Linked DNA regions of Oryzias latipes. The protein of the gene in region 4 interacts with the protein of the main gene of each other region in a biochemical or structural test. Links are inferred from orthologs where the notes say so. Each region holds a gene or a part of one and is shown on either strand. Other genes may lie near its edges. The genes, in order: eif4ebp1, maf1, stat3, mtor, akt1 and prkn.

Evidence for each region.
Region 1: of the proteins of mtor (region 4) and eif4ebp1, one has a biochemical effect on the other in vitro, tested with the Homo sapiens proteins (29 studies listed by BioGRID and IntAct, with this or other methods). The link is inferred for Oryzias latipes from reciprocal best matches to the Homo sapiens genes MTOR and EIF4EBP1.
Region 2: of the proteins of mtor (region 4) and maf1, one has a biochemical effect on the other in vitro, tested with the Homo sapiens proteins (2 studies listed by BioGRID and IntAct). The link is inferred for Oryzias latipes from reciprocal best matches to the Homo sapiens genes MTOR and MAF1.
Region 3: the proteins of mtor (region 4) and stat3 form a complex in vitro, tested with the Homo sapiens proteins (2 studies listed by BioGRID, with this or other methods). The link is inferred for Oryzias latipes from reciprocal best matches to the Homo sapiens genes MTOR and STAT3.
Region 5: of the proteins of mtor (region 4) and akt1, one has a biochemical effect on the other in vitro, tested with the Homo sapiens proteins (19 studies listed by BioGRID and IntAct, with this or other methods). The link is inferred for Oryzias latipes from reciprocal best matches to the Homo sapiens genes MTOR and AKT1.
Region 6: of the proteins of mtor (region 4) and prkn, one has a biochemical effect on the other in vitro, tested with the Homo sapiens proteins (2 studies listed by BioGRID). The link is inferred for Oryzias latipes from reciprocal best matches to the Homo sapiens genes MTOR and PRKN.

Annotation. Positions count from the first base shown.
Region 1 is NC_019867.2:12,548,044-12,552,026, reverse strand, and holds the start of eif4ebp1 (eukaryotic translation initiation factor 4E-binding protein 1), read right to left. Parts: upstream 2,801-3,983; 5' UTR 2,493-2,800; coding exon 2,357-2,492; intron 955-2,356; coding exon 766-954; intron 343-765; coding exon 311-342; 3' UTR 1-310. UniProt on the Homo sapiens protein: Repressor of translation initiation that regulates EIF4E activity by preventing its assembly into the eIF4F complex: hypophosphorylated form competes with EIF4G1/EIF4G3 and strongly binds to EIF4E, leading to repress translation.
Region 2 is NC_019878.2:20,068,124-20,072,135, forward strand, and holds the start of maf1 (repressor of RNA polymerase III transcription MAF1 homolog), read left to right. Parts: upstream 1-1,212; 5' UTR 1,213-1,764; intron 1,765-2,015; 5' UTR 2,016-2,017; coding exon 2,018-2,100; intron 2,101-4,012. Other genes in the region: zfand1 (AN1-type zinc finger protein 1), read left to right, coding at 1-4, 127-282, 612-782. UniProt on the Homo sapiens protein: Plays a role in the repression of RNA polymerase III-mediated transcription in response to changing nutritional, environmental and cellular stress conditions to balance the production of highly abundant tRNAs, 5S rRNA, and other small non-coding RNAs with cell growth and maintenance.
Region 3 is NC_019866.2:6,345,275-6,349,292, reverse strand, and holds the start of stat3 (signal transducer and activator of transcription 3), read left to right. Parts: upstream 1-1,218; 5' UTR 1,219-1,417; intron 1,418-3,551; 5' UTR 3,552-3,573; coding exon 3,574-3,701; intron 3,702-4,016; coding exon 4,017-4,018. UniProt on the Homo sapiens protein: Signal transducer and transcription activator that mediates cellular responses to interleukins, KITLG/SCF, LEP and other growth factors. Once activated, recruits coactivators, such as NCOA1 or MED1, to the promoter region of the target gene.
Region 4 is NC_019865.2:1,214,094-1,218,283, forward strand, and holds the start of mtor (serine/threonine-protein kinase mTOR), read right to left. Parts: upstream 2,801-4,190; 5' UTR 2,647-2,800; intron 2,164-2,646; 5' UTR 2,156-2,163; coding exon 2,027-2,155; intron 1,954-2,026; coding exon 1,845-1,953; intron 1,761-1,844; coding exon 1,528-1,760; intron 777-1,527; coding exon 576-776; intron 478-575; coding exon 343-477; intron 269-342; coding exon 1-268. UniProt on the Homo sapiens protein: Serine/threonine protein kinase which is a central regulator of cellular metabolism, growth and survival in response to hormones, growth factors, nutrients, energy and stress signals.
Region 5 is NC_019880.2:14,666,888-14,671,022, reverse strand, and holds the start of akt1 (RAC-alpha serine/threonine-protein kinase), read right to left. Parts: upstream 2,801-4,135; 5' UTR 2,548-2,800; intron 1-2,547. UniProt on the Homo sapiens protein: AKT1 is one of 3 closely related serine/threonine-protein kinases (AKT1, AKT2 and AKT3) called the AKT kinase, and which regulate many processes including metabolism, proliferation, cell survival, growth and angiogenesis.
Region 6 is NC_019873.2:12,968,318-12,971,817, reverse strand, and holds part of prkn (E3 ubiquitin-protein ligase parkin), read right to left. Parts: intron 3,088-3,500; coding exon 2,951-3,087; intron 780-2,950; coding exon 718-779; intron 110-717; coding exon 1-109. UniProt on the Homo sapiens protein: Functions within a multiprotein E3 ubiquitin ligase complex, catalyzing the covalent attachment of ubiquitin moieties onto substrate proteins. Substrates include SYT11 and VDAC1.

The DNA.
Region 1 (3,983 bases), on a different chromosome or scaffold from region 4:
CTGGAACACTCCTGATCTGATGAAAATGAGCTCTTTATGTCTAAACTTTCTTGCTGCTGACTGATGAGGCATTGTTGGTGTCTGTGTTCCGTTTGATGCCACTACATGAAGGCACACTTTATCATCAGCAAATAGGTTTTAGACCTTGAATAGAATAAAAAAAAAGGCTTGTGATCTTCAGGCATTAATATGAGTATCAAAGACAGACATTTTTAACCCAGATTCTAAAAGAGATCACTTTTCCTCCAAAGAAATGATGATGGGATAAGAGGAGACGTTCCAGATACTCCATTCACAGCATTGGATCCACCTATATATCCATTTCAAACTGCGCATCGTCACCTAGAAAAAGCACACAAAAATTATACTTTAACTTTCTAAAATTCAGGAGGCAACAAGGACGTTGACAGACAATGTTTTCAGTCAAAATAAACAATCTTGCTTCAAGATTAAGGTGCATCAACTTGCTTATTCTTCTTTAAGCATTTAGCTACCAAATTCTACATTTAGTAGAAAAACCCCAACTAGAATACATCTAATTATGTATGCTATATTGCAAGACTAAGTTTTTTTTTCTTTTACAAGCAGACAAGAAACTTTATTACACTGGAAATTGCACCACTACATGCATTTGGCCTAAAATAACTCCATGTTCTACCTATTGTGGATGGATTCATTAAATGTTATACACAACACTATGCTGGAGCAAAATGCCAAATTTGACTCTTTTAAATACTTTGGTCAGACTATGATTTGTGAACATACCTGCACTGCTACTGTCAGCCGCAGGCGTGTCTATGTTCACTACTTCTCCATTAAGGGTCTTCTTGTTGAACTCTTTGGTTGGAGGACTGGTCACCCCTGGAATGCTGGGAAGGCCTCGTGGAGGAGTCTTTGCCAAAGGAGAGCTCCGACACTCCAGCAAGAACTTCCGGTCGTAGATGATCCGAGTACCTGTTTGTGCAGAAACGCTTTGTGCGTCAGAACATTTTTTCAATTGTCCGCTTTTCCAGAAAAATGGCTTTGGAATGAATAAGTTAAGTGAAACATAGAACACAAAAGACAACTGATAATCATTAAGCTAGATCAAAAGTGCACCCAGCAGTTTAAAAAAGCTAACATAATTTCAGGTGTATTCAGGTTAGACGATCAAGACTGATTTATCAGAAAAATGCTTTTTTTTGGCTCACATCTCTAAGGAATTCCACATAAAAAGGCAGTAAAAATCATTAAACTAGTGTGTATATCAATGCAAATGATTAAAAATAACATTTCAAATAATTTTACTTCCATTTACTTCAACCACCCCACTCAGGTGGACACCTTTCTCAAGCAACACAAAAACGGAGCTACCGCTTATTTCCAGCAATTATTAACCTGATGCACATGCTCCCCTGTTCTTTAGAAATAGCATGCAATGTGCTGCCACACAGTGTGAACCCTGTAGTTTTACCAAACGAGAAAGAAAACACAACATGACCCATTTACTTCCGTCGTTTTGAACAAATAAAGCAATTATTTTAAGTACATACATAAATGCTTTGAAGTGTTAAAATATGACTTTTAAGATCAACATTAAAATCTGGAATCTTGGTTTGGACACATTTAATTTAAGTATTTCAGGATCCGACTCTAATGGTTCAGATGTAATGTGTACATCATATCGCCATTGGGATCAGGTCATCTGTGTACCAATGTAGTACACAGTGTACAATACAGAGACAATAATAAACAGCCAGTGGGATTATAAAAAATAAATATATGTAAAGAATGACAGATAAATAGTTTTGAGAGGCTTGTTGCTGGTGGAATATCATGTTGGTTTTGTATAAAAGTTACACCTTCAATGAACTGTGGAAAATATTATTACATTTACGTGTAACAGTACAAGGTTTGGAAGGGCGGAGTCTGATGTTTAAGCCCACCCCTTCCAGCTCGTGTTTTTATAAATCCTGCCCCTCTAAGGCCGAGGCCCACCCCTGACCCGTAAATCCCTTCACATCTTAAGCTCCGCCCACATGCTATTCTGTCCAGCTTTAGCAACAAGTACAGCCAGAGCTAAAAGAAAGCAAGAAACCCAAGATAAACACTTCAAACACAAGCAGACAATTTGAGCAGAATAAAGATATGTAACAATATGTCAAATTTTTAAAATGCATACGACTGAGTTACTTTAAACTAGCTTAAAATAAACACCCGCTAGCTAGCATTAGCAGCTAGCTTAACTGCAAGCTATCAGCTGGCTGTACAGTAGCGATGATCTAAAAGGATGTGGGTCCCATGTGGCGTGAATCTGAGTAAATCTTCGCACATGCGTGTTTTGTGTTGGAAAAAGACTTGAAATTTCTATACATACCACCCGGTGTGGTGCTGAACAGGGTCCCTCCGGGGGTAGTGGAGTAGTCGTGGGGCATGTGATCAGCGTTGTTGATGGTTACTCTCTTTGTGGACGGAATGGCCTTAGCAGTTGTTTTCTGGCATTCGGTGGACATCTTTTCTTAGGACTCTTGTACTAAAACTATCTAACTAAATAATATGCCACGAAAAGAAATTCTGGGCGTCCCAGGGCAAAGCCAGATAGTTATTTGGCTCAAAAGAACGGCTGCCTTTGATAAATAAAAATAAATACCTCTTTTTCATAAGTGCAAATTATCACCACACGCGCTCTCACAAACAGGAGGTGTCGATAATCTTTGTTAAAAGAACCTCAGGACACACGCTCCTCCACTTCCACATGCATACAAAACAACAGACAGGCAAGGTAGACAGACAGATGACTGCAGGGAAAAATGCTATCCAGAAAACGTCTACGCCCTCTACTGGTGACTGGCGCTACTGCACCAGCGTTAAAAAAATAATCAAATGTAGAATTGATTTTGTAGTTTCAATCCAAAGGGATCTATAAAAACAAAAAAAACATATTCACTTTTACAGCAAATTGCGCACATTTAGTGTGGATTAGTTAGGACTCTAGTCATTTTTGTGAACTTGTACGAGGTTCATCTTGGTTTCTATAAACAAGTTGTGAATCAAGCTGGGTGCTTCTCCCTCATGGCCCTACAACATACAGAGTTCAGCAATCCAGAATAAATATAGACTAGAATAAATATTTAGGCTGATTAGCAGCGTAAAATCTGTTAGTAGTTTAGTTTAAACATGATATTTTAGTGCTTGCACTTAACAAAAAAGGAGATACCTTGGCATTTCCAATAGTTTGAAACCTAGAAGATTTTGTTTTGTGCACCTCTAAAAATCTTATGCACCTGAATGTGTTTTGCAGATTATTTTTGGGAAAAAATGTTTAAATTGGTTAGTTATTTAGTCTGATAAGATAGAATTGTTTGTGATTTTCAGTTGTGGAAACATACAAAGCTCATTGCATACATGTTAAGATCATTGCTTAATTGATGTGTCATGGAGTACCTTAAACAAAAGCAAACTCACCATACACAAAGACATTTCATTTCTTTATTAATTTTGTAAATGTTGAGCTGGTGTACAGAGTAAATTGTCAATAGATGTCCTTGTATTTTGATTGGATTAAAAGGATTTTACAAGTACATTTTAAATCCATCTTTGACTCTCCATGAAAATAAAAAAAGGAAGCAAAACTAGTTAAAATACCCACAATACCCCTATTTGTCCCAGTGTTGCAGGCATTACCCAGAACTCAACAGTCTCTTGGTAGCTACAGCTGTATGATGCTAAAAGTACATCCATAACATAACTAGAATCCCATTTGACAAGTAAGGGTGCATAGCATTCTAAATAAATATATATGTTTATATATTTCATTTTATATATATATATATATATATATATATATATATATATATATATATATATATATATATATATATATATATATATATATATATACTCTTTTCATTTTTAAAAACATCTTCTGTGCATGTGTGCAGTTGCATTCCTTAGTATAGAGTAATATTACTGCAATAATGTCTCCAAACCATTCTAAAGGAATA
Region 2 (4,012 bases), on a different chromosome or scaffold from region 4:
TCAGGTAGTTTTAAATGTAAAACTTTATTGTAATCACATCTGTTTTTGTCATTATTATATTTGGGGCATTACTTATATAACACCTCATTTTTTTATCATATTGTTTGCTGTATTTTGGTTTTCCAGACAGAGAGGACATATTTTCAGGTTTATCTTCCTAAAGAATCCAAGGACAGAAGCCTCCCCATGTTCTTCAGTTCTAAATGGAGTGTGGGGAAAGTGGTGGATTATGCGGCTTCTATGGCCGGTCTGAAGAACAACAATAATGTTCTGACAGCAAAGGTAAATGTTGGGGAGCAAATACTGATAGTTCAGTAAAATTCACCAACCACTGCTACACCTGCCGTCTTGTGTTCTGTAAAAAAAAACTCTACTTGTTTTTCATTCTATTCAACAGTTCAACCACTTCCTGTGCTTCGGTTATAAATGTTTTATCTATCATTTCTGATATATTTCAACTAAATGTTGAGTAATAAAAAAAGTAAAATGTGCTTGGAGATACAAGTATTGATACAAAAGCAGGTCTTTTGTGTTAGTTTGAAGCTTATAAAAAATAATGTTTCTTTCATTGCCTTTATGCCGTAACAGTACCATTATCTGCCGATTTGCAGAAGCTGCGATTCTGCCATCCTCAAACAGGTGAAGCTCTTCAGATGGATGACACGCTGATCTCACTGCTGTCTCACCCAGACACTCCTCTATTTAATGGGGGTAATGTGATCCTGGAGTACCTGGATAATGAGTGCAAAGGCTTGGAGGACATTTCAGACTATATTACTTAGATGTGATCCATCTACGCTACCTAGTGTATGGATCTAGTGATTAAGCATTTTGTATTTATATCAATGCATTTTTCTTTTAAAATGTTTTTTTTTTTTGTATATGCACCTTGTGAAAAAAATAAAATAAAATGTTCTTGACGGAGAGCATATTCAGAAGAAGAGATTGATATTGCTTGATGTTTTTCTTATCATTCAAATGTGATGTTATTACCAAGTACAAAAAATCAGATTTATTTATTATATTTTAGATTTAAGTCAAAAAAGCCCTGTCTTCTTTCTGTTCTTGCAAATTGTTATATCCTAATGACTAAACCTAACAACATGTACTTTATAAGCTCCTCAGACTGAAAGGAAAATGTAGCCAATCACGAGAGTGCACGAGCAGTAGGCGTGTCCATCATCCGCATATAAATGTAAGGGGCTGGGCTTTCTGACACAGTGTATTCCGTTGTTTTGATGTGAGAAGAGCCTTTGTTTTTGGTTTCGACGTATTGCTACGTTAGTTAACCGCTATTCTTTATTAATAACATTTTCGCTACTCTTTTTTTTCTTTTCTTCCTGATCGAGTCGCTGAAAAAGGAGCGACTTGATCCCGCTAATACAATTCGCTTTGTGGAAATCAGGTCAAAAGGGATGCCGCTGCAGAAAGACTCCGACGGACGCCAACAGTCTTTGGATTTAATCTCATCGCATATAATCGGAGAAAGCAGCTTCTGTATAAAATTAAAAGCCCTCAGAATAATTCCTGCTCGACCGAGTGCTTCTGAAAGATACCCGAGCTTGAGTTCACACTAAGGCTCGGTGGCGAACACAGAGAAGAGGCGTAACAACAATTAGCAAGTGCTAGCGTTAGCAGAGGAACAACAACAACAACAGCGGATCGTTGATTTTTCTGTAAGTGTTCGGTTAAGAGGTCAGATTTTTACGGGGACTTGGATTTAAAAGCTTTTGCTGTGTGACTGCGGTGAGAAGGCTTTTGTTGGTAAGTGAATTCAATCATTTTATTAAACCAGGAAGACGATTTATCACTTTCTTTTCGGGGGTGGGGGAGGGGCAGCTGCTTCTAATTGGGGGAAATGTCCTCGCGGGGCGCTGTTCTCTGTCGGTTGTAATTAATTAATACATACACTTTAAAAGAAATGCGTTATAACGTTTTAATGCACTCGCATTTTTTATGGGGTAGTTTAAAAAAGAAAGTATTCAAAATATTATAACGTTTTTTGTATTTTACAGCCATGAAGCTGTTGGAAAACTCCAGTTTTGAAGCTCTCAGCTCCAGACTTTGCGTTGAAACTGGAGAATCTCGTATCATTGGAAGGTAAAAGACTGTGCAACCTTTAATTTTTTTTAATGTTCTTCTTATTTAGTCATGGTAGCTTGTATGTACTTTTAAGGAAGTTGTGGAATCCCCCCCCCAGACTTGTAGAAACTCATTATTGGCTGCCAGCCTCTGATCTTCAGATATTTACTATTATTTCAGCTTTATATGGAGACATTTTCCTTATTTCTTTTCCCCAATAAGAAATCTGAAATGTCCATCTTTACTCATCTTTAAACTTCAATTTTATTGCACATGTATATTTATGCTTTTATTTCAGCTCCGTTGCTTCAAATATGCTTGTTCAATTTCCTTCATTCCTTGAAATGTCTTCACGGCAGAAGCACTTGAGCAATGTTTTGCATGTTGCACACCTCATGACTTGTTTAAAGTTTTCCTTCTGCAGACAAGATCCTATCAACCTGAAGGGTTGGTTAGGGGGTGTGGACTGTGGAAAGATGAATAACTCCTGTGTCACAAGTGGGGTAGTGGAGCAGACAAGCGCCTTCATGTTATGCAATACTATGATAAAACAACTATGGCAGACTGAAAGTCCTCAGATAACCCAAAGTTCTTGCAATTGACTCTGAAAGCTTAGAACACCCCCCCTGCATTCTACAAGTTATGTAAACCCTCCAGGCTGGGCTTGTAAATACAGATGCAGTGTCAGTGTTGTTATATAAAAGCTAGTAGGCTGTGGAATAACGCTGCTCTATTTTGCGTGGGTGGTGAAACTGAGCTCTGCAGCAGAGGCTGAAAAAGTGTCGCAGATCACGGGGTCCTCTGTGGTTATTTTGGAGACTGTTGTTAGGAGCGCCACCGTGCACGTCTGTGCGTGCAATGCACAACAGCTGAGTCCCGCTGCCGTTAAGGCTGCTTAGTGGATTATGGAGGGAACTGAGCTAAGACTGGGACATAGTTACAATATTTTCTGCGGATTCATTAAAAAAGTTTCTTTTTGGGTGTCACAACATTCATTTTTTTTGGAAGTGCAACAGCTAAATTATGTAAAGAGCCGTGTTGATGAGCTATTTTCCCTTTGTCGTCTGGTTACCCATGCTGTTTATTTTGGCAGGACAGCTGTGTGTAGATGCCAGTGCTACTATTTCCACGGCTTTATCCTGTGATGTTTCTATATTTAGTCTGCAGCGATCCAAAGAGGTCTTGAAGGTTTAGTGTCTCTACCAGACTGCACTTGTGTGACCTGTTCTTGAGTAGGAGCAAAATAAACACCATTCTGCTCCACTCGGGTGTCTTATCAGCGACAACAGACCCAGAAACTTGAGAATGGAAAATCTTTAGCTGGAACTAGTCTTGTGTTTCTGCACATCTACTAGAAGATGTCTTAATTGCATGTATAATAAATGCCATGGTATTATGTTATAGCAGTAATTTAGTCTAATTGTGGCATTTTTCTGATGGAGGACAAATATTAAGTAAATTAATCTGAAAATTGTGTTGTAAGGTATTCATATTGTTGTGAATCAGGAGCTAATGGAAAAATTCTAAATTGTATTTTTTGTATTTGTCACAGCCTCCTGGCTCCGCTCAATGCCATTTAATTGTTGACGAGTAGATCCATGTACGTCTACGTCTATCTGAATCAAAACTGTACGAATGGATAGCTCGCCATTTTTGTTGCACTAGGCTCGATGATTAAGACCATAGATGATGGAAGTGGGTCTTCAAACTTAAGAAATCCATTCATGTCGTATGTTATCCATGCATTTGTGAGACCCCTATTTCATTTGTTTGATCCCAATTTGATATAATTTTAAAAACTTTACTGTGAGAATAACTATAATCTGTTGTTGTTATTGGTTTTTTTAAATGACAACTTTCTGTGATAAAGAATGCAAAATTTGTTAATAATTAATTATTTATCGTGCAGTTACCCCATGTTAAAAAATGT
Region 3 (4,018 bases), on a different chromosome or scaffold from region 4:
GTCCTGCACAACCAAAACTTTCATGGTTTATTTTTCATGGAAACCAGGTGAATTTGTGTGTCTGTTTCTGAATAAAGTGTGTGCACTGCAATTTGAAAAAAAAAAGACTCTGTTCATTAATCTTGAAGAAAAAAAGTCATTTTCTCTTGAAGAAAGGAGCCAAACAAAATGAGAAAAAGCTACTGTAATTGAAATTCTGCAGCTGATAGAATAGATTCAGCCGGTGACACCTCATTTCATTAAAAGCTAAGGACACACGGCTCCAGACAGGAGCAAAGGGTGGTTCCTCTTTGTCTCCCTACAGAGTTGTGATGACCTTGATGTGATGGAGACACATAGACACTCACTCTCTGGCAGAAAACAGCATTAAAATAATCAATGGGTGGGAAAATGCAATTAGGGAGAGTGCACTCTCAGAGCAGGATGGAGAGCAGACTAAAAGAGAAATAAAAAGCATGCACAGGGGTGGAATGATGTTGGTAGAAAATAAGAATGTGTTTATTAATAAGCACATTATTTACAATGGTGGAGGCAGGAAATATGTGTTTTAAGCCTGTAAAATAATACTTTTTTTGTACATTATAGAGTTATTACTTCTAAGAATCATGTGTTTCACTACAGTACATTTGGACTTGTTTAAATTTACAGTCATAACTAACACACTAGGAATAAGGTGAATACATTGCAACAGCAATGTAAGACCTGTTTTGGTTATGTTATTTGCATTTTTAATTAAAAATAAAGAAAACTGTACAACTTTATCGTTTGTTTACATTTTAATATTCAAGCCAGCAGTCAGAGTAGTCAATTAGTCATCATTTCTTTTTTTACTCTTCTACCGTGAAAAAGGTCTGGCTATTGTGAAGCAGTATCATTATCAAATTTGATGACGTCAACGTTGCCGGTAACTCAGATGACTTCCAGGCTGGCTGTTCTCTTGAAATACCAACCCTCCCTCTGAAATAAGCGAAACACACGGGCTTCCGTATAGTTCCGCGGGAGGGAGGGTTTGCTTTGAGGAACAGCTTCGTTGCGACAGCGGTAAACAGAGAAGGCTCAACCAAACTTGCTGCTACATCCCGCCTTATCTCCATATAAAGTCGTTTATAGTTGGTATAAAAAAAATTAGCGACTCTCATTGGCGGAATGAAATGTCAACCAAGTAGATTTGGAAGTTTGTTTGGCTGGAAAGACTGCAGTTTAGTTGATGGGCTGGGCGGGGGGGTACTTGTTTCTGAAAGTGGTTTCTCGTGGTGCGAAGATTACGGTTTGCGTTACACTATATTTGGGAGCACTTTTCCTCGTTTATGACGCTCAATTTCTACTTTTTCTTCGTTAAAAAGTTGTCGCTGACGTCTTTGTGAGCTTGTGTTTTTTGTGGGAAAGAGACCAAACTGCTCCGGATCCAACGAAGGTGGTAAGTCGTGACTCAGCTGTTAACATATTATTACACTAAAAAAAAAAAAAAAAAAACAAAGAAAAATTCAAAATATTGCCATTGTATTAGTTAGTTTTCTCCAAGGATGTCGTGCTAAAGCGAAGCTAGAGCTACAGCCATAACTTAGCTACAGTCAAATGTAATATAATTCTGTGAATGCATCATGCCTAAAGTTAGTGACAGACAGACAGACATCGTGTGCCAGGGGTCTTTCTTACGTAAGTCTTTAAACTAAAGCCATCACACATTTCAATGTTAGTTGCTGAGTGACGTTAGTTAGTAATAATATCACGACCAGGACTCAAAAGTGATGACGTTTTTGTGTTTCTTTTTCGACTATCCGGTGGTTGGTGCCTTAAATTTAAATAATTTACTTGTATGGAGGTCGTTGTTTATTGTTTTTTTCCTTAGTTGTCCCGCCCATCATATTTATGAAGAAAAGTACTGTTGTTCATTCGTAGCACAAATAAGATCTGCAGGTATATTTAAGCCCCCAATAGTTCTGAAAACGTACATAGAATTACATATACATGTATAGTATAAAGCATAAATATGGCTGCATGACAATTTTCTACATAAATATCATAAAATAGCATGCATTGTTGTCCCTGAGCCATCTCGCAGTCCCAGGCTTTGTAAAAGGGAAACTTGGCATGGTGACTGTGCTCTGATGTTTAATAAGGAAGTACTTTCCTGGAATATCACTGACCTTATGTAAGGATTGTGCATTACCAGTAAGTAACCACACAGAAAAGAAAAAAAAACACTACAGCAGTTCTCTTTCTGACTTTCTTATTAATCATTCTGATGATTTCTCAAATAGCAGTGACCTGCATGGAGCTTTGAGAAAGGAAAGAAAACGATTAATCAGTGACTGTAGTGAATTTGTGCGATTTTACATACCTAGATTTCTCAACATGATGCAGCAATGTCTACTTCATATTTCATTAAAATACAAAGATCAAACAGAAAGTTTCAGTGTTGTTGTTGTTGTTGTTGTTTTACTTTTTAGTACAAGGCTTTTCTGAAAATTTGTGATAAAAGTACTCCTGTATTTTTTCATGTAAGGAGGTTCGTTACAAGATTTTGCTTGTATTGCGATTATATATTATTATATATAATTTGCTGCAAAATAACATTAAAATAGTGATAGTACCCTAAAATGAGTTTCCTGTGTTGTGTCAGATAAGCTCTGAATACTCCAGTTTCAGTTTTGCTGTTAGAATAAATAGCATAAAACATTTTTTGTTTGTCCAAATGATATTTATTGCAATGAAAGTTCATACCCTGTATATTATTACAGCTTTGATCTGTATTCTCTGGGCAGGAAGAGCATTATTTTGGCTATTGAGAAGGTCATATGTATGAGTTTATTTTTTGTTTTGCTTTTTTCAAATACAGTGCAAGCATCTAGTTCACATTAGCAGAATCAACAATACAGACACTGTTGTGAGAAAGCTTGTGTAACAATAGTCAAAGCATTGTGTGAGCTTTCGGACAGAAACTGGAGCCTGTAACCTAATATGGGTGGTACAGGACATGTCTTTCTGTTAAATGCCTTGAATGGGAGCTCAATTTGCAAACAAGGAAGCAGTAGCCATCTTTTATCAGCTGAGTCAGCCAGCAGGATGTGATCGATAAATTCAAAAACAACAAAAAGTCCCAGATCGGCAGGTGGTTAATGCTTAAAACACACGCTCGGATTTGAAGGGAAATCCTAATCTGACAGTCGCCTATCGCTTCAGAGGAAATGGTTTGTCTGGGTTTTGATCCATGCCCTCTGCATCTGAGAGGAAGAAGTTTGCTTTGTCGGTGTTTCATGCAAAAGTTGCCGGGGCAATTCTTTGACCAGAGATAAGCTTTTCAATGCTTTACAGCTGTTCACTCTGACCTATATTTTTTAGGGGAAGGCACAGTTTCAGAGAACAGGAAATGACTTTTGGCAACGCGAGGCCTCAGCATTGGCCTGTTGTCGTTTTCAGAGAAATCTGATGTTCAACCATTTCCCATTGGTGCAGTCTGATGAAGAACATTGAGCGCGGTTTTCTAAAGTATCATTTTCTGTTGATTTTCTGCCTGTTTTGTGTTGATAAAGCAGTTTCATCTCTGGCAGATTTGAGGCAGTGCTTGTCAGGATGGCTCAGTGGAACCAGTTACAGCAGCTGGAGACCAGGTATCTGGAGCAGCTCTACCACTTGTACAGCGACAGCTTTCCAATGGAGCTACGCCAGTTTCTTGCACCCTGGATTGAAAGTCAAGACTGGTAAGAAATGATTCAAGTCTTTGTTTAAAAAGTCTGCTTTTATCTGCTAGATAAAGCTGACCTTGATCTTTCAGGGCTTTTAGGTTTGCAGCTATGAAGTCATAGCTCATATAAACACTTTCTCTCACATTTTATGTTACTGCAATGCACTTTACCATGTTCAATTTGAACTTTTTGTGTTGTGATCACACACAAAAATTATAGTCTTTAAATATTTTCACAAAGTTGGGATTTCTTTTCAATAAACCTGGGAATTTTGTGTTGTTGGAATCTGGAAATCGATATGTTTTTGTGTTCCCCCCACTATTTTCTAAGGG
Region 4 (4,190 bases):
ACCTCTCCTCCATCAGCTCACGGCAGTACCGGCTCTCCACCAGGGAGCTCTTGGCCGGTACCGGAGCGGCTCCGAAGGTGAGGAAGCCCTGCGGCGTGCTGTAGCCCAGCAGGCCCAGCAAAGCGTTTGACTGCTGCGGCTGCACCGACTGGAAACTGGTGAAGGGCGTAATATGGCGGGGCTTGGTTCCAAATCCCATCAGCTCCTTGCAGTACTTGTCGTGGACCAGCTGCTGCTGTGTGATCTCCTCCATCTCCTCACGCATTCGCTGGACGGAGAAAAGGCCGTGAGCTGTCAAGCTTCCTGACCCGGGACTTGGTCCACCGTGGACGGAGATCTCACCTCTCCCTCCATGCTGCTGATGCGGACCAGCTCGTTCAGAATCAGGAGCGCCCCGTGAACCCTGTCGTCCCGATTCATCCCTTTCTCCTTAGCCAAAGTCTCGTCGAAGCCTTTCTCCGCCTCCTCAAACGTTTGCTGCGGGACACGACAAGGACAGGGCTGAGGCTTTCTGCCGAGACCCGTCACCTTCTGGGGAAGGGAACCGTTAAAAACACGGATGCCGTTTGTCTCACCTTGTACCACTGAGGCTTCTGCATCTCTTTGGTCTCCCTCTGGGTGGTGAGGATGAGACAGGCTCGCAGGGCCGACACGGCGCCCTCTCGGATGGCCTGCTTCTGGTCCCAGACTGCATAAAAGATGTTGTCGAAGAAGGGCTGGACTTGCTGGAAGAAGAAGGTGGGTGCGCTGACGGCCAGCTCCCTCAGCACCAACACCTGAACAGACGCAGGAAAAGCTTTGAAGCAGGTCTTCATTATGGACGTGTCAACATCTCAGTGTTTTAAAATGAACGGCTGTGTTTTATCACATCAGTCCTTTGATTGGAAAGCAGATACAGGCGTCCTGTTAGAAAAGCTAAATCCATCCATCTCCATCTCAAAGTAATCTTAAAGGACCATCTCCAAACTCTTTTTAGTCTCAAAGATTCTAGAAAAGGTTGTTGCAGAGCAGTTTACTGCAGAAGAACAATCTCAATCTGGCTTTTGCTGACATCCTTCTACTGAAACGCCTCTAAAGGGAGATCTGAATGACATGAAGGTGACTGGGAAATGCTCAGTTTAGGTTTTTTTTAACCTTTTCTCTGCATTTGACTCAGTTGAACGTTGCGTTATTCTTCTTCTTATTGTCCTTTACGTCTTGAGACGCTAAGGGCAGCAATGAAATCTTTCCCTTTCTGACGGCCGCGGGTCAAATTGTGGTGCTGCAATGAGGACTTTTGCTAATGTCGTTGGTCACGTCATTTATGACTCTTTCTGGCAAAAGTCTCACAGAAATAAACGTCACTAAGTTACACTGCAGACCTGTTTAACGGTAACTTGTGGAAACTTTTGTCTCGACACTCAAACTTCCAAAGATGTGTCAGACATGATTCAAGAACCGAAGCTCCAAAGTGCGGCAGGACAGTTTCAGGATGGCGAGCATTCTGTTTACACAACAAACAGTCCGTGTGGTCGGCCCGGGACTCACAGCTGCATGGCGCCTGCCTTCGTTTCGGTCGGCCCCCAGCCACTCCAGAGCTCTCTTCACTTCAAACTCCACATATTCAGCGGTGAAGGTGTCTCCCGCCATAGACAGGTGGCCCATTGCTTTGGAGGCCATCTCCATGACCACAGGATCGCTGGAAGGCAGGAGGTTGCGGAGGTAGTTGGCAAAGCGACTGATCCTGGTGGCATTTCCTCCCTCAACGCCAATGAGACTCACTGGAACATAGGTGCAGCACCAACAACATAAAGCAACTGGACACACAGCAGGCATGTGGGGTTGGAGGTCGTGACTGAGCGTACCGATAGCGAGTATGCCTCCTTTCTTCTCATTCACGTCAGAGCTGGACACCAGCTCAAATATGTGGTGGTTTAACTCGTCGTAGAACGTCGTGGCTTCATCTTGGCTGAGCTGAAGCAGAAGATCAGAAAATGAAGAACAAAGTGTGAGGCAGTCGAAGCATCCCGGTTTTCCGTGCAGGTACCTCTCTCAGCTCTGTGGTCACATAATGCTGCAGATCTTTGGCAGACTTTGCTCGGGTGTCTTCGTTTCGACTCTTTAAGCCGCTGACAAACTGCTGCAGCACTGTGGCTGTGCCTGACAGGATCACCATGGCGACAGCTGGAAAGACAACCACGGGCATCACAGTGTTACACCAGGAAAAACATAAATAACTAAAAGACAAGAGTCAGACAATCGGAGAATGACAACACGCTTTAAGGACAAACACAACCCGACTGACATCTGGAATATAAACTCTGGAAGAAGAATTATTATAAACGACACAAAGGCAGAATCAGAGTTCGTCCAAACGTCGAGTTATGGAAAAATAGTGTCAAGTTCAGACCTTACTCGACCTCGATGACGTCATCATTAGTTGCGGGCTAGCTACGTTAGCACGTAACAACATCGGTTTTAGTACTCTAAAACTTCAACTTCGAATCCTCCTTTTACAAATTCAAACCGGGCACATCCAGGTTCTGGTCATTGCATTTACGCGATATGATAAGCTGGGACTCCCTCGTTAAGTCGTTTCTGTGTTCAACAACTGTTAGCGGGTGCAAGGATTTAGCTAGCTCGTGCATCGAACAGGCGGTCACTTACTTGTTTGTGTTGGTATGATGCAAACGTTTCTGTTGTGTCGTTAATGCGGAATGTTTGTCATAGTGCGAACACTAGAATGCCAGCACTCGGACGGCTAGCCAGGATAAGCAGGAAGGACGCTGGTAGCTCCGCAGGCACTGTGCTGCGCAGTACGCTCACTGCGCAGGTTTTCTCTGAGCTCAGCTGGGCGGTTCTTAAACCACGTGTGATGTTGAAGCTGCTATGCAGTACCTACGTTCACCGAATGAGGGCGCAAACAGTAACATGCAAATGGGAAATGGATACATCATTTACAATAAAAAATAAAAAATGAAAATAAATTACAACTTAATAGCTTAAATGTTATCCATGCAGTGATGTAATGAAAAAAGGTTCTCAATAAACCGAAAAAAACTAAAAGTAAAAAATAAAATCAAAGCAAATCTCTGCTAAGGTCAGTGTTTTTCTGTTGCATGATTGCAGCTTTTAAAAAAGTACGTTTTTGTCATATTTTAGTGAGTCTGGGGTCAGGCCTTACCCTTTTAGACTAACTATACCAAACTGTAGTGATGGACCTCCAGTAACTTGTTGCTTTGTGTTGTTTGTGTTTCTTTAATCATCCTCCAATTTCCTTAACCTCCCAGCCCCCCCCCGTCCAGTCCAAGAAAAAATGCATTCATACACAATAAATGTGAATAAAGTTTTGCCTCAAATCCCAAAGGGGTTTATACAAATAGACACCTCGCGTGTCAGAAGATTCATGACCCCTAGTGTAACAGTAAAATCTGTCTAACACAAGAAGCCCTCAGCCCTGATGTGTTTGCCCAGCTGTTGGACAGGACAAGTAAGTAAAAAATAATAACACACATGCAAATAAATAAAATACAATAAAAATATAAAAAGTGCATTTGGGAATTTATGTATTTTAGAGTTGTACACAATTATTTAATAATATACATTACAACTAATATTTTTTGTCTTTTAGGTTTTTTACATAAATCTTATTTGACCTCAGGAATCAATTGAAAGTTGTTGTTGCTGTACCTGTCTTCAGGTGTGTCCCAGTAACACACTTGATCCCATGCCTTCCTCAGGGGGGAGACATTGTCCAGGTGTAAAGTCAGGTCTGAGATCTTCCACCTCTCCATCTGTGCTGTGTTGTTACAGAACACTTGAACCAGACCTTCACAGTCCTAAATCCATCAGTCCAATGGAAATGGGATACTTCTGTACTGTTTCAAATAAATCTGGACCAACATTTGTCTATTATGCATTTCAGTGTAGGTGTTACATGTTAGAAGTTTGTTAAGGCAAACAGGTCAACAGGTCATCAACTGGCACTCATACCCTACTCTTCAGTTTCGACAGACCTTTCAATCTTTTATTTGTCTGATGCTACAGTTTCTCTTCTTCAACCCTCCTGTATTTTCCACTTTTGAGGCTAAAACTGATTTAGCGTCATTCTTCTACATTAAATTTAGAGAACAGATCAGTGCACACATTTTTTCCTTATTTTACTTCCTCACAATGGAGAGGATAGTTCTGTCAATCAGCTTTTTTCTACA
Region 5 (4,135 bases), on a different chromosome or scaffold from region 4:
CTAACCTCATCCAGCTTATTTGACATCAACAGGAAGTGAATGTGACTCGACAGCCTACGAGTCATATCAGAACTGCCCCGGGGCTTGATAACATCTGTCATTTAATATCTGATGAGCGCGTCTGTTATTGCAGCTTCATTCTCACTTCCATCATTGACTAAACCTTCGAAGTCTCTTGAAGCCGCCGCTTGTGTTTACTGCACAGTGGCTGGTGTTGTCCCACACAGCCACCGTGTGAAGCACTGCGCACGTGGATTTGTAAAAAGCACACAGACAGAGCGCAGTTAATCACTCTAGCAGTTGGGATCACGTCAGCATCTTAAGGCGGACTCTGTGACACCGGCATGCGTGCTTTCATACCTTCATACAGACCGGGAGCCGTCGCACAAACCAAAATGGCGACACTGCACACAAGTCTGACTCTGGAGCCACAACAGAGATCTGGCTGTTTTTAAACCGGGAGCGACCTGTCGCTGCTGCGGCTCTGCTGTGTGGAAAAGCTGGGCTGCAGCCAGCAGCCACTGAATGAACCCAGTACCCTGACAGCGGGTCACATGATCTGCAGTCCGGTGGGCCACCGCCTGCCTGGCTGCCCTGATGTCAGAGACGCTTTCAATCATTCATTTTTCTATCTAAACCTTTGCAGGGAGAGGGGGGGGGGGGGGGGGGACCCCTTTCAATACTAATCAGTGCTATGAAGCAAAAGATGTCAAATAGTTTGCTTGTGACTGGGAGGACAGAGACAACCGTCCCATGTGTTAGAGGCAGGAAGCAAAAAAGAAAAAACAAGCAGTCATCAAGACACCACCAAATTCACTCCAAATCAATAGATTCAAATCTGGTTTTCCTCATTTTTCTGTTTCCGTTTTAGTAAGCAAAACCTGGCAGCTGGTTTGTGGTTACACAGGTAGAACAGTACTCTTTTTTGAAATCATTACAAGAAAGACGAGATCAAACATTCTCCCCTGATCCTGGCAAAAGAAAACATTGAGGCAATGCTTGGTGTGCTTTAAATGCCACAATAGGAACAGGCATTGGTGTGATCTACTACACCGTACAGCGTTCCTCTTTTAGGTTCCTTAAAAAAATAACATCACCAATAATAATAATATTAAGGCTAAGTGGAGTAGTTGTTACTAAATACCAAACCACAGTAGGAGCAATCTTGACAAGCAAGAAGCTTAATCCTGTGATGACATGAACAGCAAACCCTTTATGACTCCCAGAACTGTTTTCACTTTCAGGCTGTCCAGACAGGCTGTGCAGAAGTGTACAGATGCAGCTCAGAGCTCAACTTTGAGCTCTTCTCTGATGTGATTGTTTTTGTTTTTTTGTTTTTTCCATCAAACGATGGAGAAGCCAATTTGAAGGCAACCTGACTCACCTGCGCAACAGCCTGGACCATCTGGGAGTCTCTTTTGCAGAAACCAAACGTTTCAAGCAACAACCCTCTGATCCAGCATGCAACCGGTGGCACATTTGCGTCAATGAAGCTGCGAGGGCATTGGGTGGGAGGCTGCTGGTATTTTCTAAATAAAACAGGGAGAGCCCAGCAGTCACTGGCTGCATCACCACGCCAGCTTGTTGCGTCCTCTCCGGGGGTCACATGTCGCGTCCCCTTGTGTACACAAACTGAGGCAATGCAATCTCATGACCAACAAAACAACTTTGACACTCAAGAGAACAGCCCGCCTGGGGACAATGTTCTGGAAACTTCCAGAGACGGAAGTCAAACATGATTTCACACTTCCATGAAGGCTGTCCTGTTCCCATGTGCAGCACCTCCACATCTATAAGACTGCTGGGGAGGAAAAAAAAGAAAAGAAAATAAACTACCTTTGGCTAAATGGGATGCTTTTAGTAACAGTCATCGCTGTAGGTGGAATAATGACAGTGAGGGCAGTAGAAACCATAAAAACAAGCATTATGTCATTGAACTGATTACTGGAGAGGAAAACATGAAAATAACAGTTGAGGCCTCTCCTTGAGACCTCCCTGGTGTCCGAAAGCCAGAGGCCAAAAAACATAAAATGACTGAAAGGACACGTTTTCAAGAGTGCAGGGTGACAATTCCCAGCAAAGATTTGTTGACAGTGATAGAAACAAACCTTTAATAGCTGAAGCTGAAATGTGTGGCAGCATTTCTGAGCTCAAGAAGAAGAAGCAGTAAACAAAGTGCTAATAGATAACAATGAATGAGCTGCTCTGTCTATTATTGAGCATTTAGTTTGGACTCAACTTTTTTTATTTATTCTTTTATTTCTTTAAGGCCCAATTACGTCAATATTTTCCGTGAGTCTTCACAAAGAAACGAAAAATGAATGATTAGCGTCTGAAAAAAGTGTCTTTCTGCGGTTGGTGCAAAACCACAACGAGTTCATAAGCCCTAAACTGGAACGCGGCGATTCTACGGCGACAAAAAAGAGCCATAAAAGTGTCTCATTTCGGGGGTTTTCACTTCGCAATGGATAAAAAAAGGATATGGGGCCTAGCAGGGCAGCTTGGGTGAGAATAACCGCATCCCATGTAAGTACAATGGGGACCTACCCTGTCTGGCTGTCGGCCTCTTGCAGTTTAACCACGCGACGGAAAACGCGGCCGTTTACCTGTGCGGGAACTCAACAGCGTGTCCGTCTCATTACAGTGGGCCGTTTCGGCGGTATTTTGAGTTGGTAAGTCCTTCAACAATGTGCACAGAAGTCTCTCATTTACTCCGTTTCTCTTGCCTTTCTTCCACTACACCTCCCAAACGCGCTGTCTGCAATGCCTCTGTGGCGGCCCGGCTCTCCCGGGTCCTAGCGCTGGTCTTTTATCAGCTCCACAAGACGAGCCGTTGGATCTCTGCTGTCCCGTTTGGGAGAAATGATTTTTTTTTTTTTTAATGGAGCGGGTCTGCGAGGTCTGGATGCACTTGATGAACTCCTCTGTGTTCTATCTGGTGGTGAAGCGGGTGTTTGGACCCCCAGAGGTCCCGCTAATGTTTGAAGGGGTCCTTCCTGCAATGAATGACTTGATTCACTTCATGGAACATGAGATTCTGTTCAAGATTGATTTACTGTAGGAAGTCAGTGGTGATTCATTTTTGTTAATTTGCTGTGGCTGTAATCTTTGCTGGTATGATCACTCAGAGAAAACAACAGGTCCAGGGCAGAAGTGAAAGTGCAGAATTTGAAGGATGATTGTCAAAAGAAAATAGGATGAGGAGGAAGGAGGCTGAGAGGAAGATGCTGAGAGTCTTTGTCACAGAATAAACATGAAAAAAGCACACGTTGGAAAAAGTGAATCAAAAATAAATGCATGAATGTCACCAAATAAATAAGTTTTTGTCTCAATTTTGTGTGTGTGTGTGTTTGTTTTTTATTTTTATTTTTTATAGCAAATATAAAGCAGTTGGATAGGACGATTAAACAAATATAAAGCTGGTTGGAACAAATAATGTGTTTTTTGTTAAAATACGTATAAATCAGTAAAGACTTTAAATGTCAAGAATGATAAATATGCAAGGCTTGGTGTGGAAAAAACTTGATCTTTCCAGTAAAATATATAAAAAAAGGTACATTTTATTTATGCCCCTTATTTTCATGCACTACACATAAGTATTTACTTTTATTACATACAGTATACATTTTTTGACACTTTTTCAATATTATTATCATTCTAAAAGAGGGGTTATGCTTTTATTGTGGGAACTCTGGTCACTTAGTATCACAATGCACCATCCGTTTAAACTCCAGTACCCCCTGTTAGATGACTGGCCACGGGGGGATAATTCTGAAAACTCCAAAGAAAATAAATTTATTTTTGTTCCTGTAGAATCTCTCCCCAATTTTCATTCACGAATATAGGGCTCTTATTGACTCTGGCGCTGAACACAGCCTCATCGATCAGCATCTCCTTAAACAACTCACGTTACCCACCGGGCCACTCGACTCTCCAACGCTGCCGGGTTAGGTGGTCAACAACTTTCCCGGATCACGAATCGTTCCAAACTTATTCTCATTCTCACCTCCGGTAACCATAGAGAATATCATAGATTTTTTTTTTACTCAATTTCCTCAGACCCTTATAATTCTGGGGTGCTCCTTGCTCCAACTTCATAACCCTCATATTGACTGGTTTACTCTCCGCATTTCCA
Region 6 (3,500 bases), on a different chromosome or scaffold from region 4:
TGCAGGGGTCAGAGGGCAGGAGCCCCGCCCCACAACCAGGTGCCGGACACATGAGTCCTCCCATTTTCAGTAGGCACTCCTCAGTGGCATATTGCTGGTACCGTGCATACTGTAAGATACAGATAGAGAAAGAGGACTGAGACCGCAAGTTACCTGTGCACAGGTGGGAAGGATTGAGTCTCTTCCTTTGTGTTACAAGTGAGATTTACCTACATCACATTGTAGAGTGAATATTTATTTTTATAGCAGGTATATTTTTACAAAAAGAGTTTGTTTCTTCTTTTATTGTGTGATAGTTTATTTTGTGATTTAATTCTATGAAAAAAAGGTCCGTCTAAAAAACATTGGCTTATTTGCACATGGCCGCAGCAGCTGCTTTTTGATGAAAGCTCTTTGTCAGCCAATCACAGGGCAGCATGAGGACCTGCTGAAACTCCGAGTGCACATCACTTTGGAGCAGCATCATCCCCTAACGTCCGTGTGTCAGCAGGCCGAGCTGGTGGGTGCTGCATCAAAGCTCAGAATGGTGGTGATGAAGAGTCCTGGACCTGCTGGGTGCCCATGAGGTCACCTACACAGTTTCAATAGCGGCTCATCCCTCTTCCGTCATCATCAGAGCCTCTGAACTCCAGCGGCTTGTCTTCAACGTGGGTGTCAGAGCCCTTGTGCTCAGCATGTGTTCCTGATGCTGTGGCAGAGAATCTGAGGTGCACTTACCTGGTCGTCACCCAGAACTCTGAAATGGTGCAGCTCTTTGATCAGCGAGTCCTCACAGCCCGCTGTAGACACAAACGCAGCGTCTTTACACACATACAGATCGGATTCACGCTTGTGCTCTCACTCTTGTTTAAATGTTGACAAAAGGTGTTTTGTCTGGTTCAGGTGAGTACCTGCCTACATCCATGCCGCTCACAGTCTATTCCAGCTAGTGACTCATGTTCTTCATCAATGTCCAGGACTAATTTGCCCACATTTTACATTTTTGATTTGGGTCATCAGACTGTTGTTTTTGATTCTGACCTGTTTTTTTCCCCAGACTTAGGATCACAGACAACTGGTTATAGGCTGAAATCTTCTTTGGATTTCTAAAGTTCATGATCCTTCATGTCTACTGACCACCAACTGGAGTGAGGTGCCTCAGACCTCTAGATGCACCTCCAGCAGGAAAAGCCCTTACCTCATTCATGTTTCACTCCAATTTTTGCAGATGAAACTAACCAAGGCTTTTGGTGAGAATAGAAAAAAAATAACATTTTATTACTGTTTGTGTCATTTCCTAGCAGTTTGTTGGAAATTTTGTCTTGTAGAAAGTAAATCCCAGATGTTGAGAAACTTTCTAATTGAAATTACGTTTTATTAAGAACTCTGTTGTCATCCATCTTTGATTATAGCTCAGCTATATGCAAATTGGTAGAGACAGTTGAAACAAAGCTGAAAAAGTACAGGCATTTTCCTGGTATTGGGATTTTCCCAGTCATGAGTATACTACTGTCATTTCATAGAACAGGTACCAATGCCCTGACATGTTTACTTCTGTAAACTCTTCAAGTTCCATTTTAAATGATACTCTCAAGTCCTGAGTTGTTGCTGTTTTTCGGGAGTCCACAAACTTTTACAACACAAGTTACAGACAAGTTACAGTCTGGGTCTCCCTGTGTCGGTCCCCAGCCTGGATAAAATACAGGGTTGTGTCGGGAAGGGCATCCGGCATAAAAATCTCTCCCAAACCACATGTTTGAATCAGTCAAAGCTGATAAACTGTTGCAACCCCTGAAGGGATGTGCTGAAAAGTGAACAACAACAACCCAGGTTGTCAAGTAAGGGAACTGAGACTCCTTCATCAAGTCTTCAGATTACAAGCCTGCTTATTTTGGTCAGAGTTCTGTCAGCTGTCTAGGATCACAGTTAGCCTTTTATTTGGTTTCCATCCACAGCCCAGTGGGCAAATCTGAAAGGTTAACCAGAAACGCAAGACCAGCCCCCCTATCCTCTGTTATCAGGGTCCATGTTTGTGAGTTTGAACCACCATGAAGGGCTCAACAGGCTCTCGTTACTCTGGAGAGCCATTGAATCTGAGCCAATGACCATAAACAGTTTTTTCCTCAGTACCAGGCGGGGACCAGAAGGTTCTGATTTGACCCTTTGCCTGAGGAACCATAGGCTGGTTCCTATATTTGTTGGCTATTTCCGTAGCACCAAAGTTATCAAGCCAAGGTTTGCCAAGGAAGAGGCTTCTCCACCTGACCTCTTCACCTCCAAGGTTAAATTGTGAACAATAGCAGAAATGTTACCAATAAAAGTAAACAGAATCGTGAACAATATTGTGTGTACAAATGGAATGTGCATTTTTAGTACAAAAAAGTACACCCAAGGAGGCATATGTTCATTTCTTCTTTGCTTTGGGGTGTGGTCTGTTCCTGTTTGTTTTGGTCTTTATTGTCCTCCACCACCCAATAATAACAGTCAAAACAGGTGATGTGGTGAAGGAGGTGAATCTTTCAGCATGGTGGTGACTGTACCACAGCTCCAAATCTTAGACACCTCCTAAAAAAAAAGGAAAACGCAGTTGGTGGTCTTTTGTGCTGAGTTATTGATGCTTCGGTGAGAGGGATTGTTTACGGAATACTACACCAAGATTTAGTAAATCTGTTCACTTTTGACGGAACCTCTGGAGAAGGACACGAGCAACTCTTTAGCTGTGTTGTTGTTGTTTTTTAGGATTGTCTTCATGTACTTCACTTTATTAACTTCACACTGTGGGCATTTCTGGAAATGGTTACTCAGCTTAGAAGCACAGAAAGGTGCTGGTGGGCTTTGGAAACAGTTGCAGGCACAGAGGAAGTCCACATGGACATCTTGTAGCAGCAGCAAAGCTGTGAATGCGAATGACGACCCTGTAGGTGTAACTCTGACATGCAAACGGTCACCACACTGACCCCCCGCTTCTCACCTGCACACGGCAGAGAGTATCCAATCGCAGCGTGGTGAACAAACTGTCGCTCGTTCAGGCGGCTCTGACAGTACAGACGGAAACAGTCCAGACATATCACATGGCGCTCTGAGCACTGGAAGACCAGGACCACGCCCCTAAAAGACAAAAGAAAACCATACGTGAGAGTGAGTTTGTGCTTAGGTGGGCCAAACTGCAGTTTGAAGTGTCAGAGCAAAGTAATGACATTCAAATTTACAGTTAAAGTTAAAGATAAAGTTATTTTTTCAATTTAATGTTCATTTTCATGTTTATGTCAGCTGGCATGATTCAACCCCCGACTTCATACAGGTTTCCACACATAAAATCATGTGCAAACTTGACAACGTGTCCAAAAACAAGTTTCACTTGATTTTTTTTTAACGAATAGTTTCAGTAAAATACCGCTTGCAAGAATCCATCTAGTGTGTTTGCCTTTGATGAGTGTGCTTTGCGGGTGTTTGTGGCAGAACACACTGAGGAATAGATAGTAGTGCACGAAATGTGATTTCCAAACATGAAACAGGATTGC